Linked DNA regions of Macaca mulatta. The protein of the gene in region 4 interacts with the protein of the main gene of each other region in a pairwise test. Links are inferred from orthologs where the notes say so. Each region holds a gene or a part of one and is shown on either strand. Other genes may lie near its edges.

Evidence for each region.
Region 1: the proteins of ATXN1 (region 4) and VSTM2L interact in binary tests that used the Homo sapiens proteins (3 or more experiments, as listed by UniProt). The link is inferred for Macaca mulatta from reciprocal best matches to the Homo sapiens genes ATXN1 and VSTM2L.
Region 2: the proteins of ATXN1 (region 4) and EIF1AY interact in binary tests that used the Homo sapiens proteins (3 or more experiments, as listed by UniProt). The link is inferred for Macaca mulatta from reciprocal best matches to the Homo sapiens genes ATXN1 and EIF1AY.
Region 3: the proteins of ATXN1 (region 4) and PIAS1 interact in binary tests that used the Homo sapiens proteins (3 or more experiments, as listed by UniProt). The link is inferred for Macaca mulatta from reciprocal best matches to the Homo sapiens genes ATXN1 and PIAS1.

What each region holds. Positions count from the first base shown.
Region 1 is NC_133415.1:90,806,262-90,810,504, forward strand, and holds the end of VSTM2L (V-set and transmembrane domain-containing protein 2-like protein precursor), read left to right. Parts: intron 1-1,506; coding exon 1,507-1,779; 3' UTR 1,780-2,877; downstream 2,878-4,243.
Region 2 is NC_133427.1:8,128,189-8,133,253, forward strand, and holds part of EIF1AY (eukaryotic translation initiation factor 1A, Y-chromosomal), read left to right. Parts: intron 1-805; coding exon 806-909; intron 910-2,615; coding exon 2,616-2,666; intron 2,667-5,065. UniProt on the Homo sapiens protein: Component of the 43S pre-initiation complex (43S PIC), which binds to the mRNA cap-proximal region, scans mRNA 5'-untranslated region, and locates the initiation codon. This protein enhances formation of the cap-proximal complex.
Region 3 is NC_133412.1:45,638,907-45,643,971, reverse strand, and holds part of PIAS1 (E3 SUMO-protein ligase PIAS1), read right to left. Parts: intron 3,995-5,065; coding exon 3,550-3,994; intron 1-3,549. UniProt on the Homo sapiens protein: Functions as an E3-type small ubiquitin-like modifier (SUMO) ligase, stabilizing the interaction between UBE2I and the substrate, and as a SUMO-tethering factor. Catalyzes sumoylation of various proteins, such as CEBPB, MRE11, MTA1, PTK2 and PML.
Region 4 is NC_133409.1:166,757,187-166,762,251, forward strand, and holds part of ATXN1 (ataxin-1), read left to right. Parts: coding exon 1-1,054; intron 1,055-5,065. UniProt on the Homo sapiens protein: Chromatin-binding factor that repress Notch signaling in the absence of Notch intracellular domain by acting as a CBF1 corepressor. Binds to the HEY promoter and might assist, along with NCOR2, RBPJ-mediated repression. Binds RNA in vitro.

The sequences.
Region 1 (4,243 bases), on a different chromosome or scaffold from region 4:
GGGCTGTGTGCACTTTACTCTGTATAAGTGACACTCCCATTTTAAAACAGAAATGTAAAAACCCAAACAAATAAAAAGTCAAAGTACAAAGGCAAATATAACAAACATCCTTGCTCCCCCCAAGTAAATAGTTTTCAGCATTCCGATATATTTGTCATCAGCCTTTATATTGTTTTGTTTTGTTTTTTATTGTGTTATTTTATTTTATTTATTTATTTTTTTGAGACAGAGTCTCGCACTGTCGCCCAGGCTGGAGTGCAGTGGTGCAGTCTCGGCTCACTGCAACCTCCGCCTCCCAGGTTGTTCAAGTGATTTTCATGCCTCAGCCTCACGAGTAGCTGGGATTACAGGCACGCACCACCACACCCCCGGCTAGTATTTGTATTTTTAGGAGAGACAGGGTTTCCCCATGTTGCCCAGGCAACATGCCCAGGTCTCAAACTCCTGACTTCAAGTGATCCGCCTGCCTTGGCCTCCCAAAGTGCTGGGATTCCAGGCATGAGCCACTACACTTGGCCTGGTTTGGTTTTTAAAAGATCGGTCTCAGGCCGGGCGCGGTGGCTCAAGCCTGTAATCCCAGCACTTTGGGAGGCCGAGGCGGGCGGATCACAAGGTCAGGAGATCGAGACCACAGTGAAACCCCGTCTCTACTAAAAATACAAAAAATTAGCCGGGCGCGGTGGCGGGCGCCTGTAGTCCCAGCTACTCAGGAGGCTGAGGCAGGAGAATGGCGGGAACCCGGGAGGCGGAGCTTGCAGTGAGCCGAGATCGCGCCACTGCACTCCAGCCTGGGCAACAGCGTGAGACTCCGTCTCAAAAAAAAAAAAAAAAAAAAAAAAGATCGGTCTCACTCTGTCACCTAAGCTGGAGTGCAGTGGTGTGATCATGGCTCACTGCAAGCCTCAAACTCCTGGGCTCAAACAGTCCTCGCACCTCAGCCTCCTGAGTAGTAGCTGGGACTGCAGGCACCTCTATTATTTTTTTTTAGGAAATGTACACTTTCAGACTAAATGAAGACTTTGCTTTGTAGTCTATACCAGGTCCACTTCCTCCCCTGTGTTCTGCCCCAGAGTCCACCACTGTGAGGAGGTCCTGGTGTTCCCTCCTGTCTATTTTAAACTTCCACACCCGGAAGACCCCAAAACCAGTATAGAGTAGGTTTCTGTGTTAATTTACATAAATGGCATCCCCTGGGGGCAGGCAGCAGTGAGAGCTTTCCCTCTGCTGTTTGCCACTGAGCTCATGTGCCTAGTTCTAGCTCCGTCTTTCAGACCACTCTGCAGTGCTTCATGCAGGGAACAGACCACTGCTTAGTTATGCAGTCTGTGGATGGACATGGCAGTTGCTTTTACTTTTTTGCTGTTTAACTCACTCTTGTGCAAACCTCGGTGGGCCCTTGTGGGAGTGTTTCTGGGGGCTCTAGTCCTAGGATCCTGGGACCCCCGTACTCTTCTTCTCCCCCACTGTCACGGGATAGACAGGTCACGGTCTCTCTGTCACCCCCAGGTGGTCAAGGTGGTGGGCAGCAACATCTCCCACAAGCTGCGCCTGTCTCGGGTGAAGCCCACGGACGAAGGCACCTACGAGTGCCGCGTCATCGACTTCAGCGACGGCAAGGCCCGGCACCACAAGGTCAAGGCCTACCTGCGGGTGCAGCCCGGGGAGAACTCCGTCCTGCACCTGCCCGAAGCCCCTCCGGCCGCGCCCGCCCCGCCGCCCCCCAAGCCAGGCAAGGAGCTGAGGAAGCGCTCAGTGGACCAGGAGGCCTGCAGCCTCTAGACTGATGCCCCTGCCCCTGCCCACCCGCCCCCACGCTGTACAGAGTGCATGAGGAGCCGCCGGACCACTGGGGACGGACTGCCTGCGTCCAGCCGCGCCCTATCCCTGAGGCCGCCTGTGGCCACCATGTCGGCCCTCTTTCCACCACCCCTTGCTCAGCATGTAAGCCCCACCCACCCCTGCCCTTGCAGACCCCTGTGGTGACCTGGCTCGGAGAAGGTGGCCCTGGGCACCAAGGGGCCGTCCGCCCTGAACACTGGGGCGGGGACCATGCTGGGGCCCAGGGCCACCCCCTTCCTGTCACCAGCTTCTGTGGAGTCCAGTGTTTTGCTTTGCTTGCTTGTTCCCATCCTGTCCTGAGCCGGGGCCCCCAGCCTCACCTCCCTCCTCCTACCATCCCTCACTTGGACCTGGGGGTGTGGACAGTGACCCCTCCCTGAATATGAACTTGAGTCTTCTGAGCAGAACTAGGGCCTCTCCCCTGGTGAAGACTCAGGGAACAGAGTTCCCAGGAGGGCCCTTCTGGGGCAGTGGCTCTGCAGGGTCACTCACGGAGGCCTGCGGGAACAGCGAGACGCCCCACCACCTCCTGGCGGGTCCTTCCTGTTCAGCTCCCTGTGCGACCCTCCAGGGATGCAGGGGATCCAGGATTCTCTGCCCTGTCACAAGGCAAGTCAGAAGGGAGGGGTCTTCCCCTCGGACCCACGGCCCCAGGCAGAGTTTTACACCAGCAGGACCCCTTTGAGGGTCTTCAAGGCTCTCCCAGGAGTCCCCCTCTGCCGGCCCCCAATGCCCCAGCCCCCTCTTGGGTCCTGTGCCAAGTCCACCCCAGGGCCTGGGGCTGTTGGGAGCCAAGGGCCCCCTGGTACTCAATTCCCTTACGATTCCCTATCAGGGGGACACCTGCCCCCTGGTTATTTGTAAATATTTCTATTGGATCCAATTACCCTTGGAATTGGCTCGCACCTCTGGTTGCTGCTCAGTGATGATGTGGGGGAGGTGGGAGAGGCCGAGGGCTTTGCCTAGGGGTGGAGTGCCCTGTATACATGATCCAGTCCGTGATTACCAGCCAACCTGAATAAAGCGGTTTTAAAAAAACCTCTGGGCAGTGTCTTTCTGGGGCATTTGTGCCTGGGGGCGGTGTGTGGGGTGGAGGCGGGAAAGCAGGTGGCTAGCTCACACCCACGCCTCACTCAGCATCTTTCTCCTGCTTTGCACCCCAAGCAGCGCCTGGCTTTGCAGTGCAGAGCACAGGACCGGTGGGGGCAGAGGGAGAGGGTGGGAGACAACCAGCTTTTGTTCAGCTCCAATCCTGTTACCAGGCACTCGAATTACTCTTTGCCTCTGAGATAATCACCCACAGAGAAGACTGCATAAAACATGTTTACACAGTTTTGTAAATAATGTAAAGCAAATACTTGTGTAGTCACTACCTACCAAACACAGCACCCCAAAAGAGAACCTCCCCAAGCCTCATGTGTCACCTCCATCCATCCCTTCTCCCTGTTAGAGGCAGCCACTGTCCCGACGTTTAAGGTTTTTTTTTTTTTTTTTGAGACGGAGTTTCACTCTGCCACCCAAGCTGGAGTGCAGTGGTGCAATCTCGGTTCACTGCAACCTCCATCTCCCAGGTTCCAGTGATTCTCCTGCCTCAGCCTCCCGAGTAGCTGGGACTATAGGCATGTGCCACCACACCTGGCTAATTTTTTTGTATTTTTATTAGAGCTGGGGTTTCGCCATGTTAGCCAGGATGATCTCGAGCTCCTGACCTCGTGATCTGCCCACCTCAGCCTCCCAAAGTGCTGGGATTACAAGCGTGAGCCACTGTGCCTGGCAGGTTTTTTTTGTTTTTGTTTTTGTTTTTTTTGTATTTTTAGTAGAACTGGGGTTTCGCCATGTTGGTCAGGCTCGTCTCAAACTCCTGACCTCAAATGATTCACCCGCCTCAGCCTTCCAAAGTGCTGGGATTACAGGTGTGAGCCACTGTGCCCAGCCGGTAATCCCATTCTTAATGTTCTTTTTGTAGTCTTACTACCTAGGTGTATGTCATTTTATTTTTGAAGTTCCGGGGTGCATGTGTAGGATGTGCAGGTGTGTTTCACAGGTGAATGTGTGCCATGGTGGCTTGCTGCACCTATCAACCCATCAGCTGGGTATTAAGCTTGGCATGCATTAGCTATTTTCCTGCTGTTCTCCCCCTCCCCCGCTCTCCCCTGCCTATGTCATTTTAAACAATGTATGTGAGTTTCCTCCATTGTCTGACCTGCATATGCACAGAATCATACTGTATTTCTCGCATCTCAATTTGTGAGATTCATCTATGTTGCTGCATGTGTCTGTAATTTGTTCACTTTTATTGCTGTACAATATTTCACTGTATGACTATCTCACCATCTATCAACTTATTTATCCATTGTATTGCTGACAAGAATTGGAGTGTGTTCCTGACTGGGTACTATGACTT
Region 2 (5,065 bases), on a different chromosome or scaffold from region 4:
GGGCTCATATGTGAGAGGTTGATGAAGCATTGTAGTGTATATTTTGAAATGTGCCACTTTGATGTTCAAGAGTAGAGTGTACAATCATGACAACAACAGTTGACTTACTCAAAATGAATAGGTAATTAAAATGCCTCTAGTAGCAGAAATAGCTTGCATTGGAAATGGCATTTGTAATCCTGAACAAGTTACTTGACTTAGTGTTTTATTTACTCTAAATATAAAGGCGTTAAAGTATATGAGCATAGCTGGGAGAGGTGTAGAAGTTGACAGATAAAGAATTACCTGGTTTCCCTAAAGTTAGAATGTGTGTCATTTTGAAATACTACTGTCTGAATAAATTATTCAGGCTTTTTGCTGTTTGTTTTATGCTGTTTTTCTTTGTATGTAGTTTGATCCAATTTAGCAGTAAATGAAGCTTTTATTAGCAGGTAAATTTATTTTGTTGTTGAGTTTTGATCTTGACACCCAGGCTGGTGTGCAGTGGTGTTTTCTCAGCTCCCTGCAACCTCTGCCTCCTGAGTTCAAGCCATTCTCCTGCCTCAGCCTCCTGAGTAGCTGGGATTACAGGCATCTGGCACCACACCCAGCTAATTTTTCTATCTTTAGTAGAGACAAGGTTTCACCATGCTGGCCAGGCTGGTCTTGAACTGCTGACCTTGGGTGATTCACCTGCCTTGGCCTCCCAAATTGCTGGGATTTCGGCCATGAGCCACCATACCTGGCCCAATAGCTAAATTTTAGTCATTACATTTTAACAAATGTTGAACAAGATCTCAACCTTTTTTTAATCTCCTCTCCTCAGAGTATGCTCAGGTAATCAAAATGTTGGGAAATGGACGATTGGAAGCACTGTGTTTTGATGGTGTAAAGAGGTTATGCCATATCAGAGGGAAATTGAGAAAAAAGGTAGGTGTGTGGGTTTCTTTTCCATAAAAGTTTGCTGTAAAAAAAAGTCTCTGCTTTAAATACATGGTCCAAGCAATTTATTTTTGTGAGTTCCCAAAATAATTTATGTAACAATGATCCATGTGACAATGTGAATAAAGAAAAAGTCTTTGATAACTTTTAGATTTACTTTTAAAGAATAATTTCTTTGTTTAACTTCTGTTGTATTCCTGCCAGAAATGTCTACCTTAGTATTGAAGAAACCAGACAAATCTAATATATAACACAAATGGTCTTGACTCAATTAAATGTTAATGCTGTGAAAGAATGAAAAATCTTCCTTTTTACTTTAGATTAAAAGAGATTAATCGGTGCATATCCCTTCATTAGGTTTTGGATTGGGGGAAATAGTTTTAGGTGGTACTATGAAAATTGGAATATGGAATATGTTAGACAATCTATTTGTTATAATACCACATCAGGTAGTTTTATAACTTACACTGATTAAAAGTCTCTACTACTCAGATTTTTAATTAAAATAATAATAACTTTTTTTTTGGCTGAGCTCTGTGGAAGTAGTAGCCAGCATACACTTGTAGTCCCAGCTGCTCAGGAGGCTAAGGCAGGATGATTGCTTGAGCCCAGCCCAGGAGTTCAAGGTTCCCATAAGCTAAAAATTGTGCTAATGCACTCCAGCCTGGGTGATAGAGCGAATCTCTATCTCAGAAAGCAATAAAAATAAAAAATCTTTTTGATATGTTAACATTCTTTCTTTTCCAAATTAGTGGCACTTTTAGGGGTTCTCTTAGTCCATTTGGGCTGCTCATTGACTGGGTAGATTATAAAAAACAGAAATTTTATTTCTCATAGTTTTGGAGAAAGAGAAATCTATTTAACATTTGGTGAGGACCCATTTCCTGATTATTATGTGGTGCCTTCTGGCTTAGTCCACACATGGTAGAAGTGATGAACAAGCTGCCTTGGACCTCTTTTTTAAAACCAAAGATTCCATTATTGAGTGATTAGCCCCCATCGTGTAATGACCTCGCAAAGGTCCAACCTCCTAGTACCATCACCTTGGGGATTCAAATTTCACCATAAATCTTTTGAGGAACACAAACATTAAGACAAGAACGGGGCTGTATTTATGTAGATTGGGCGCTTTTTAGTCATTTTATGTAGACATATCTGTATTTTGGACAATTACATGTCTCTCAATTTCTGAGACAAAGGATCTTTTGGCAGTTTAAACTCTTGAGTAATTGAGATAAAATTGTTATATATTTTTTTAACTTTCTAAGTAAGAAAATTTTAACAAACTCAACTGGATACCGTAGTTTTTTCATGCCGTACCTTAACTATGTACTGCATACAACTATACTACAGATACATATTACAGTGTTTTTTTCCTAATTTATTTTTAATTTTTGAGGTGAGGTCTCACTGTGTTGTCTAGGCCTCTCTACATTGCCTAGGTTGTTCTCAAGCTCCTGCACTGAAGTAATCCTCCTGGCTTAGCCTCCCAGAGTGCTGATATAGGCATGAGACACCTCTCCTGGCATCTAATTAATTTATTATTTTTTCACACTAGGTGAATAGTATACCTGTTTTGTACTTTAGTAAAAATGTTTAGATTCACTAAACATTTTTTTCTTTTGATTTTTATTAAATTAAAAATTTAATGAAAGTTTTTATTTTTAAAATAATCTGCAGTAAATGTCTTACAGGTTTGGATAAATACTTCAGACATTATATTGGTTGGTCTACGAGACTATCAGGTAAAAATAACATTTAAATTTGTGTTGTGACTTTGTATTTAAGCAGTTGTTAATGTTTGGAAGGTACTATATACTAGCATCTTTGACCCGTTCCAGCCCAGGATGATTTCTCACCATTCTGCCTGCCATCATCATTTGTTTAGGGCCAGTTGTGTTTAAGACTATAGTATTTTTCAAATTTGAAATAATTCTCACAGATAGTTAAGGGTATATGTATTTTTGTGGAAAGACATAAATTTTTTAATTCTTTGTTTTCATTGCTAATGTGCAGTAAATATTTTCTTGCAGGCTTGGGCAAGTACTGTAGAACATTCTGTCCTAATCCATTTAAAGGCCAATGGTGTTTCAGGCATTCAGCGAGGTATTTCAGACATTGTAGTTCCCAAATGCCAGTCTGTGAAATAGTATTGGTGCAGGCTGAAATTTCAATGCTCTGAAGTCACATTAGAAGATAACATAGTTAGGATGTTCTTCATGGAACACAATTGTTTGTTTACTTTTTAAATATATATTTTAATAACCTTTTTTTAAATGAGAAAGATAATATATAAGGTAGTAATTTTTATTAGTGTTCTAATTTGGCAAAGGAAAATTTAGTAATCTGGAGACTCATTTACCTAAAATTATTTTTAATATTAATATTTTGAAATTTAAAGTTCTTGAAATCCACATCTGGGAAACCACAAGTCTAGTTGATGCAGTTGAGTAAGTTGGTTCTCCTTTAAAAGTTTTATAGTTTGGTAGTGTAAAGTTAAGATATGCGTACCAAGTAGTTACGGTACAAACTGTTGTAAAGTACAGGCTATAAATTTAAAGTGAGCAGTGTATAACAAAGACAGTGGTGGGGTAACTGTTTAATCTGCAGTGTTGAAACTGTTTACATGCTATAGGTCTGTAAAATACATTTGATTTCTATCCATGGAACTCATCACCATTGCTTAACCACATTGAAAAAGTACTCCTATGTCTATATTTTTATTCTCTTAATATTAGGTAAAGTTTTCTGTAGTCATCTGTTAAATGTAGTTGGTTTATAATGTTCAAGTCTTCTGTTGATCTTTTGTCTGATTCTTTTCATTACTGTAAGTGGCATATTGAAGTTACTCTACTTTTCATCTTGAGAATTTCTACTTTTTGCATGACTTCAGTGTCTTTATTGACTTTCTGTTTAGTGAAATACCATTTTCATAATTTTCTTAACATTTTTAGACAGGATTTCTTTTTAAGTCTTTAAATATGTTTATAATCTCTCAGATAAACCAAGTCCAACTTCTGGGATTCCTCAGGAATAGTATTTTTTTTTCCCCCTGTGTTTGAGTCACTTTTTTACGTCTCTCTTTCTTTTTTTTTAAGCTGAACATTTTAACTACAACATAGCAGTTCTAGAAATCAGATTCCTACCTCTCAGCGTTGTTGTTGGTACTGCTTGTTTGGTGACTTTTCTGAACTAATTCTTTGGCCATTGAATAGTTGGTTAGTTTAGTGGGCAGTTCATGTTTCAATTAAGATTTCATTAAAATGAGCAAGATTTTAATCATTTAAAGAGGAATATTGTACATTTAGAGGAATACTTTCAACATTCAGCCAATGTCAGTCAACTGACACCTCTTCCTTAGTCTTCATTTCTTGCTGTGCAGGATCTGAAGTTCAGTTGGGTAATATTAGGGCTTTCCTATGTCTTTCTTTATCGTGTGCGCTACCCTGTACACATATTTGGCCTTTAAGATTTGCCAGAAGTATGTTAGACTTTACAAATTTCCTATGGATATCTCATTCCAAAGCTTTTCCAAGATTTTTGGTTATTATTTGTCCCAACTAGTATTACCACTTAAGGCATGTTAAAAAATTGCCACAGATTCCAGCACTTTGGGAGGCCGAGGCAGGTGGATCAGGAGGTCAGGAGATCAAGACCATCCTGGCTAACAAGGTGAAACCCCATCTCTACTAAAAATACAAAAAATTATCTGGGCGTGGTGGCAGGCATCTATAGTCCCAGCTACTTCGGAGACTGAGGCAGGAGAATGACATGAACCTTGGAGGCGGAGCTTGCAGTGAGCTGAGATTGCGCCACTGCACTCCAGCCTGGGTAACAGAGTGACTCTGTCTCAAAAAAAAAATTTGCCACAGGTTGTTTTTTCTACAAAAGTCCTGTGTGGTAAACCACAGTGAATAAGCTCTGAATCAAATGAGTTAAAGAAAAACTCTTAAAATGGGAGTTTCCAGGAACTGCCACGAAATTCTCTGTAGAATGATGTTACCAAAGAACTTCAGACTTGCTCTGTGCTTTTCAGTAGCTGCTATGCTGTTGGTTTTTATTAAACTGAGATGAGGAATGGAAATAGGCCACACTGCTTTTTCTTAGTAAGATTCACCTATATTTCTTGCATAAATGCTCCTTA
Region 3 (5,065 bases), on a different chromosome or scaffold from region 4:
AGGTGGGAAAACTGCATGAGCCTGGGAGGTTAAGGCCACAGCAAACCAAGATCTCACCACCGCATTCTAGCCTGGGTGACAGAGCGAGATCTGTCTCAAAAAATAAATAAACAAACAAACAAACAAATAAATAATGATAATAAAATATTCAAGTTGGGTGTGGTGAGAATGAGGCCAAGGTGAGAAGATCACTTGAGTCTAGGAGTTCAAGACCAGCCTGGGCGACACGATGAGACCCTGTCTCTACTAAATATACTAAAATTAGCCAGGTATAGTGGCACACGTCTGTAGTCTCAGCTACCGGGGAGGCTGAGGTGCGAGAATTGTTTCAGCCCGAAAGACAGAGGTTGCAGTGAGCTGAGATTGCACCACTGTGCTCCAGCCTGGGCAACAGAGCAAGACCCTGTCTCAAATAATAAAATAAAATAAAATAAAATAAAATTTTAAAAATAAATGTTATGAGGCCGGGAGCAGTGGCTCACACCTGTAATCCTAGAACTTTGGGAGGCAGAGGTGGGCGGATCAACTAAGGAGTTCAAGACCAGCCTGGCCAGCATGGTGAAACCCTATCTCTACTAAAAATAAAAAATTAGCTGGGCATGGTAGCACGTGCCTGTACGTCCCAGCCACATGGGAGGATGAGGCATGAGAATCGCTTGAACCCAGTGGGGCGGAGGTTGCAGTGAGCCCAGATTGTGCCACTGCACTCCAGCCTGGGCTACAGAGTGGGGCTCTGTTTCAAAAAATTAAAAATAAAAATAAAAAATAAATGTTATGAGAGCATGTGGAGAAAGTGAAATTGATTCTGGCTGTGGAAGAAATATACAGATGAAAGGAGGAAAGCCTAGAAAGATAAATGAAAAAGGTTAAAGAAAAAGAGCATCTGAAATAAGCCTCATAGAAAAAAACAGAATTGAGATAATGACAGGCAAAAGTAAACAATAAATTAAATATCTTACTTTACAACAACCTTTTACTTCACCTCTCAATTCTTACAGTTAATTATGGACAATGAAAAGAATACTTTAATTATGGCTCTAAAATAAAGGCCTTAGAATTATTTTTAATTGATTTAAAGAAATAACAAAATGATTGTAAGAATGAACGAGAATTATCTAAAAAAATGGGAATTATCAGAACTACTGTTTCCATTTTAGTTAGAAATACAAACCATGCATGAAAACATTCAGTTTACATTTGAACATCTTAAAATTTCTTTAAATCTGGTGCTTAAGACCACAACAGAAGGGAAAAAATGAAAAACTAAATGTGCCTGTCCCATTCTGGACTCAGTGATAGCTGTGATCAACTAGCCAGCTGGTGTTCGAAACTATGTTCTTAAAAACTTGATTTTAAATGTATGTATGTTTAGAAAGAAAGAGAATGCTGGAAGCTATTAAATTTTTCAGAAAACATGGTTTTCTAAAAGATTTAAAACAAATGAACCACTGGCAAAAATAATCATTTAGGAAACTAAGTTCTGTGACAAATGTAGCCACTTCATTTACAGAAAAAGTCTTAATAATGTTAAAGAATCTGTAAAAACAGAGCCTTAAAATATACTCAGTCTAAATAAACCCTGAAGACTAATTACATAAAATCTTTTTTCAATAAATATTTTTCACATTCACTAAGCATTCCCCTGCAACAAATATTTATTGAGCCAATAAACTTCCACAGATTACTTTCTGGTGAGATCTTTTTATGCATATTCAAATTGGTCTGTTTTTAATTCTATAACAATGAGATACTGAAAATCTATTTACATACCACTAAGCAATTCTACACCACCTATTCATTTGGTGACTTTCTGTGAATACATACCACAAACAGCAGATTTATTCATGGAAACTGGCATTCAAATCAAATTATCCGTCAATTATTGTTATTTGTGACAGTTATGTTCTATAAAATCACCACAAACACTGAATTTGTGAATATATAATTGCTGCTACTAGGGGAAGTATAAGGTTAAGTTCCTGCAAGCCCCTGGTCACAACGTTTTCATCAACTGATCAATACATAACACATATGTACACATACATATATGTACACATACAGACCATATATAGAGATATATAGATAGATACAGATATGGCCTTTAATTTAAAATGGGAGATAGATAGATATATATATCAGACAGACAAGAAAAGATGCTTATGATATATTATTAAGGGGAAAAAAGGGAAGTTAAACAATACTATGTATATGATTCCTTCTGTAAAAAAACAAGAAACAACTTGCTTGTACTATATATGCATACACACTAAACAGCTAACAAGGAAGGGACTTTGGCAATTCCATTTTTTACAATGAGCATGTATCAGTTTTATAAGCATACAGTAGATTCTCAAAAAATGTTTTCTTATTATGGCCACTTAAAAAATGAAATAATGTGATACAAAACTCATGTTGTTTCAAATGATTCCTATAATCTTCATGTACTCAGGTAAATTCTGCTACATATAATTAAGAACAAACACCTCATATTTCAAAGATAGAATTTCAGTAAAACATTTTCAAAATGTTCTCAAAAATTCGCAAAAAATGTTCTCAACACTTGCCAATCCCCCAAACTGAAACATTCAATGATTTGTAACAGGGATTCACAAGCTTTCACTATACGGGTAAATATTTTGCGCTTTGCGGGCACAGATGGTCTCTGTACATATTCTTTGTTTTTCTTTCTTCTTTTTTTTTTTAATAACTCTTTAGGAATATTTTTCAGATTTCTTAGCTCAGAATCACACAAAAACAGGTCACAGACTGGATTTAGCTTGCCAGCCATAGTATGCCAACAAACCAGCATTTAGAAGTCTGATATTTTAAATATATTACACCAAAGGCGTCAGAGGTCACAACAGTTGAGTTTTATTCTACATTAAGTAAATAAGGTAGCATTATACCAATTAAAATTACAAGTTAATATATTGAATTCTATATGCTAGACTACAAATCAAATGATGTAACAACACAGCAAAATAAATTTCAAGCATTTATATTATATAACTGTAATCAAGAGTGTGCATGTGCATGCTTATAAAGCATGCACTTCTCCACTTGAAAAAAATCAGCTGAAATTTAACTACCACACACATCAAAGCTCAAGTCTCCTTTTACAATCATTAAAACCATTCACTCATTTAAATAATCAAAACTAGTAAGTGACTTGTTTTAGAGATCATCAATCCCTGAAAATTAAGAACTAATCAGAGACTTGTAGTGACTTACTCGCTTTTAATTTTCTAATTTATAAGAGATATTGTAAAATAGTAATCAATCTTCTAAAAGACTCCTCTTTGGAAGTTTATATTCTTGAAACTTTTTAATATTTACTGTGTCAGTAACCATCAATATACTACCTTTTTTCCTCTGAAAGATAGCTTTTATATATTTGATTTTATCTAAATTTGAAAGATCTTCATTATTATCCAGCTGTTACTATCAAATGAAAATTTCATTATGAATAATAAACTGGGTCAAAGTAAAAGTCTAAAATGAAAATTCATCCTGCAAAAGTAACCAAATACCATCATACAATAATCTTACCTAGACTGGTGGGTTTTATCAGTTCATCCAGTAAATCATAAAACGGTAATTTTTGAAGTTTTATATCCGGATGGACTGGGTGAAGAGCTGATGTAAGATGTGGGAGTTCCAGTTCATGTTTAGGTCCCAGAAGAGAAACAGGGAGTAATGGCGATGATGCAGGGTGACCATCGTAAGTGAGCTGTGGAATGGTAGATGGAGACAAAGTTGCTGGCATAGGACTTGAATGTACGTTGGGGATGGACAAGTCTGCAGGCGTCATGATTTTCTGCGGGAACCGCCGCCTATAGAGTTCCTTAATTTTCATTTGTACAGCAGGACTACAGCCAGCCTTTAGCAAATGCAGGGCTTTTGTGAGAAGTTCGTGTTTGCGTCCGTGCTTGTTCCTCCCAGCGTAGCCCAACAGTACTTGGAGTTCAGAAACTCTAAGGCTCATAACCATTTGCTTAGAGAAAAAACAAAATGTAAAACATTAGTATTCCAATAACATAATTTACACTATTAAATGACACTTTATTATAACCCCCTTCCTATGGTTTACTTAAGTAAATAAATGCCAGTTCACTTATAATCCTAATTATTTCAAACTTCAAATTTAATCATTTAACATAAGTAACCAAAAAAATTTAAAATTATTATTCATAAATTGACTTCTACCCTTGGTTATAAGAGATATAGGATAAACTATACACCAGGGAAAACCACACCTCACTTTATTCCACTGTTTTGATGAAACTGTCAGGTATTTATCAAGCACTTATTGAGTCTCCAGGAGAATGTCGAATGCTATGTAGACGGTAAAACATAATGATGTGCCCTCAAGAATATTTTGTTTTCTTGGGGAAAATTATAAGTATATATGAAACAACAAACAGTCCACCTCAAACACCAGATGTAGCCAGGATATCAATAGCTATTATCAAGTGTTACATTCTATACTAACTCTGGAATTTGTAGACTTAAGTTATACCTTTTGTGACCAATTATATATCAGATACTCGATTTGATATTTTCATATGGAATGTCATAATCTTTACAACTCCCCAGGGCATTATCCTGCCTGATTTACATATGAGGAGACAAGTTCAGAAAGGTTAGATAATTTATAAAGCCATAAAGCTACTAAGGAGTACTCAGGATTCAAACCCAGATATGTCTGATTCTAAAGCCCATGCTCTTTCCACTAAACCATTAGGAAAAAGACAGAGCTGGACTCATATTACTGACTCTCACTTAACTTGCATGGCCAAGTTAGAAGTCCAGCAATCCAATTCATATGCCATAATGTATGAGGCTGCAGTAAAGAAATCTATTTAACTTTGTTTACCTATGTTCACAAACTTATTTGGTCACTGTTTCTCCTTTTTCCCCACCTACTAATAGGAAATGCCCATCTAATACCAATCCTCCCATTTTAAAGTGGTGGAAAATGGAATCCAAAGAGAAGAAATCACTTACCCAAGATCACACAGCTATTAGCAGAATCCTAAAAGACTGCATCACCACTGACAGGGAG
Region 4 (5,065 bases):
GGTCGTCATGCAATACGCCGACTCCGGCAGCCACTTTGTCCCTCGGGAGGCCACCAAGAAAGCTGAGAGCAGCCGGCTGCAGCAGGCCATCCAGGCCAAGGAGGTCCTGAACGGTGAGATGGAGAAGAGCCGGCGGTACGGGGCCCCGTCCTCGGCCGACCTGGGCTTGGGCAAGGCAGGTGGCAAGTCGGTTCCTCACCCGTACGAGTCCAGGCACGTGGTGGTTCACCCGAGCCCCTCAGACTACAGCAGTCGTGATCCTTCAGGGGTCCGGGCCTCTGTGATGGTCCTGCCCAACAGCAACACGCCCGCGGCCGACCTGGAGGTGCAACAGGCCACTCATCGCGAGGCCTCCCCCTCCACCCTCAACGACAAAAGCGGCCTGCATTTAGGGAAGCCTGGCCACCGGTCCTATGCGCTCTCACCCCACACGGTCATTCAGACCACACACAGTGCTTCAGAGCCACTCCCGGTGGGACTGCCAGCCACGGCCTTCTACGCAGGGACTCAACCCCCTGTCATCGGCTACCTGAGCGGCCAGCAGCAAGCAATCACCTACGCCGGCAGCCTGCCCCAGCACCTGGTGATACCCGGCACACAGCCCCTGCTCATCCCGGTGGGCAGCACTGACATGGAAGCGTCGGGGGCAGCCCCGGCCATAGTCACGTCATCCCCCCAGTTTGCTGCAGTGCCTCACACGTTCGTCACCACCGCCCTTCCCAAGAGCGAGAACTTCAACCCCGAGGCCCTGGTCACCCAGTCCGCCTACCCAGCCATGGTGCAGGCCCAGATCCACCTGCCCGTGGTGCAGTCCGTGGCCTCCCCGGCGGCGGCTCCCCCTACTCTGCCTCCCTACTTCATGAAAGGCTCCATCATCCAGTTGGCCAACGGGGAGCTAAAGAAGGTGGAAGACTTAAAAACAGAAGATTTCATCCAGAGCGCAGAGATAAGCAACGACCTGAAGATCGACTCTAGCACCGTGGAGAGGATCGAAGACAGCCATAGCCCGGGCGTGGCCGTGATACAGTTCGCCGTCGGGGAGCACCGAGCCCAGGTAATGTTGGCCCGGGTGGCACAGGGATGGGACACCACACCGCAACGCCATCGTCATCTCCTGGCAAGACGAATTGCTTCTATGAGGCAGGATTAAGGGTTCTCAGGTACACCTAGACCTTAGACTCGGCCTTTCCCAACTGCGTTCTCTAGAAAAAATAAGCCCCACTTCCCCATGACCTCTGCTGTGTGTAATGAATTGATCTCCATGCATGGAAAGTGGGGCTAGTTATGGAGTCCTTGAGACAATTCAGAAACTCACCACTTTAGTTGTTTCTTGAATTCTGTGGTCAGGATGAGGAACCCCGATTAGGAAAGGCTGCTGGACATCAGGTCCTTCCAGCGGTCATTCTGCACTTTTTCCTACCAGGAAAAGACAGAGGATGCCGCTGGAGTGAGTGGATTAGGTGCTGAAGCAATCACATCCCATTGCAACATCCATGTTTTAAAATGGATGCTGGGTGCAGTGGTATATGCCTTTGGTCCCGGCTACTCCAGAGGCTGAGGCAGGAGGATCACTTGAGCCCAGGAGTTCGAGGCTGTAGTGAGCTATGGCTGAACCTGTGACTATCACTGCACTCAAGCCTGGGCAACATAGCAAGACCCCGTCTCTAACATATATATAATGTCTTACTATTATTTAGGTATGATAAGGCCAACAGATAGATCAGGAGACAACTCTCTTTAATGAGATAATTTGTTATACTCTCTGATCCCGAGAGGAAGGAGCACTCTACACCAAGAAGTGTAGAGCACCATAAAGTGGGGGGCACCTGGGGAAGCACCAGGTGGGTCAGGAGGCAGAGAGAGTGAGGGGAAATATGGCAGACAACAGCCTTTATTGTGGTTTTCATGAGGCAGGATAAACAGGTTTAGGATTGGCTAGAGTGGATAATTCCAGTGTGCTCTGGGGCATAGGGGCTGTCCCTTGTTGTCTGGCGGCTGGTGCTGGGGTGAGCGATACAGGTGGAAGGTCCAGGCACAGTGGGTCACACCTGTAATCCCAGCACTTTGGGTGGATCACCAGAGGTCAGGAGTTCGAGACCAGCCTGGCCAATATGGTAAAACTCCGTCTCTACTAAAAATACAAAAATTAGCTGGGCGTGGTGGTGGGCGCCTGTAGTCCCAGCTACTCCAGAGGCTGAGGCAGGAGAATTGCTTGAACCCGGGAGGCGGAGATTGCAGTGAGCCGAGATCAGGCCACTGCACTCCAGCTTGGCCAAAGAGCAAGACTCTGTCTCAGACAAAATAAAAAAAAAAAGTTAGCCCCAAGTGTGATGGACCAATATAGGAGTCTGTTGGGGAGTGGGCTCTGGACTGGTTGGTTTGCATATGAAAATCAGGCTTCTAGGAATTAGCTAATCCTGGGAGAGACTATACCTCTGGGATCCGCAAGACCCTAAAATATCAAAGCATCAGAAAGTAAAAGCATGGTTAATACAATCTGAGAAGTCAGGGCTGTCCCAGGTGACCTGCTGGGCTTGGGGTAAAGTCATCTGTAGCCAAGATGAGTCACTTGAAGTATGGTTAGCTGTCTTAATTTCCACAGGCTCCTTCAATCCACCCTTTTCCAGGTTCTTAGATTGATTACATGCATTTATTCCACAGCCCGTTTCTTTCACTGCCCAAGTTGCTGGGAGTCCAGCAGGTTCAGCCTGCAGCTGAGAGCTTTCCTGGCTATCGAGCTCACTTTCTACAAGTGTTTCCATCTAGGATTTGAAAACACTCAAATGGGACAGAGCCTCCTTCCAGCTTGAGTTGAAAATAGTCATGCAATAGCTGCTATTTGGGACATTCAGATAAAATAAAACAAGAAAAAAAGATAAAGTAATTAATGGTTTGAATTATTTTGGGCTTTTTTTTTTTTTTTTCATTTTTGAGACAGTGTTTCTCTGTCTCCTAGGCTGGAATGCAGTGGTGCAATCATAGCTCCCTGTGACCTTGACCTCCTAGACTCCAACGATCCTCCCACCCCAACCTCCCTAGTAGCTGGGACCACAGGTGCATACCACCATGGCCAGCTAATTTAAAAAGTAAAAAACATTTTAGTAGAGATGGGGTCTTGCTGTGTTGTCCAGGCTGGTCTCAAACTCCTTGGGCTCCAAGCAATCCTTCCACCTCGGCCTCCCAAAGCCCTGAGATTACAGACACGAGTCCCCATGTCTGGCTTTTTTGAGCATTTTTTAAAAGCCCAAGTGAGCAAAGGACCAAATCAGTTTTCCAGAACTGCTCCTGAATGACAGGATGTGGGGGCTTGCACAAAGTCAGGGCCCCGCATTGACGAGAGCTTTTAGCCCTGAATACTTTTCTTTGTATTATGAGATGTCACTGTGGGTTTACAGTCTTTGGAAGAGCCCAAGAAAGATTTCCCCAAAGATTTGATTTAAAAAAAAAAAATCAGGATTTTTAAATAAATGACATAATAATAGAGCTCACCAGCCCTCTGTAGTGGCTGTTCACTTCCTGCATGAATGAGGGGTGGGTACTAGGAGAAAGAAAATGCACTGCCGTGAGCAAAGCTGACTCTTCACAGACCCCAGGTGAAACACGGAAAATAAACATGAGCGAAAAGTCATTGCTTTTCAGGGTACTTAGAATCCTTAAAACATTTTTGTGAACAGAGGCAAGTGTGAAAAGAGGTTTTGTTTAGAAACACGACTGGTTCCTTGCCGGCCAGCATCTCCTTCAGCTTGAGAACGAAGGCAGACACTTCAGCTGTGGGCCACACCTCGCAGGCCTGGCAGCCTCCACAGAGCCCAGGCTCTTCTATTCTTTCATTTTTTATTTATTTTTTTTAATTTTTATTTTATTTTTCTATTTTTATTTTTATTTATTTATTTTTTGTTTTTTGGAGACAGAGTCTTACTCTGTCACCCAGGCTGGAGTGCAATGGGGTGATCTTGGCTCACTGCAACCTCTGCCTCTTGAGTTCAAGTGATTCTTTTACCTCAGCCTCCCAAGTAACTGGGATTACAGGCGCAGACCACCACCCCTTGCTAATTTTTGTATTTTTAGTAGAGACAGGGTTTCACCATGTTGGTCAGGCTGGTCTCGAACTCCTGACCTCAGGTGATCCACCGCCTCGGCATCCTACAGTGCTGGGATTACAGGCACGAGCCACCGCGCCCAGCCCCTTACAGCCCTCTTCTGTTCATGGGGGGGAAGAATCTAGGTGTGTTTTTCCCTACTCCAAACTTTGCAAAAGTATTGATTGAATGAAAGAGAAATTGGCTTCTCCATGAAGTCAGAGCCCTGTTCTCATGGTTTTTCCCATAGTGAGATCACTAAGTCCCTCTCCTGACAGCCAGGGTGCAGGTAGAAGTGTTGTCAGGGCCTGTTCGCAGGTCTGTGGGGTCGGGCCCCCATGGCTGTGTTGCATGCCGGGAAGGGCTTCTGCAAAGAAAGGCACGTGTGCTGAGACCTGCTGAAAAGGCAGCTAGGGCTTCACAGTGTAGAAACAAAAGTGCAAGGCCCTGACGCAACCAATGATTTGTCACTTTACCGAGGAGCCTATCAGAAATCGGCTGACATCATCGCAGCTAAAATACTCCACCAGCTGTGTTTGCCACAAGTGACAGGTTCAGAGTCAGCGGAGATTCAGACAGAGAGCATGAGAGGGGGAGATGGGAGGGAGAGAGATAATTCATATCTGAACTTAATTGAGGTTCCAAAGGCTACATCCTTCTCTCCCTCTGCAGTGCCCTCCTGAGGGCTCTTCTCCTCTAGCCTGAAGAATCTTCCTGGTCTTCTCAACGGGTTAGGCATCGCTGACACCGCACCCACAGAGAAATTCAGAAATGTGCAAATGGTTGAGCTTACTAAGCAAAATCACAAATTTGATTGGGGAAGTTGTGGAAGAAGAGATGGTTTTCTCCAAAACAGATGGCATTGTGACTCTAGGCAGAAATCCTGCATGAATAGACTCTTGAGGATGCCTGACCTCATAAGACCCCCCCCCCAACATCACACCCCCAGGGAAAGCCATGTGATACGGTATGGTGGTGACAGACCC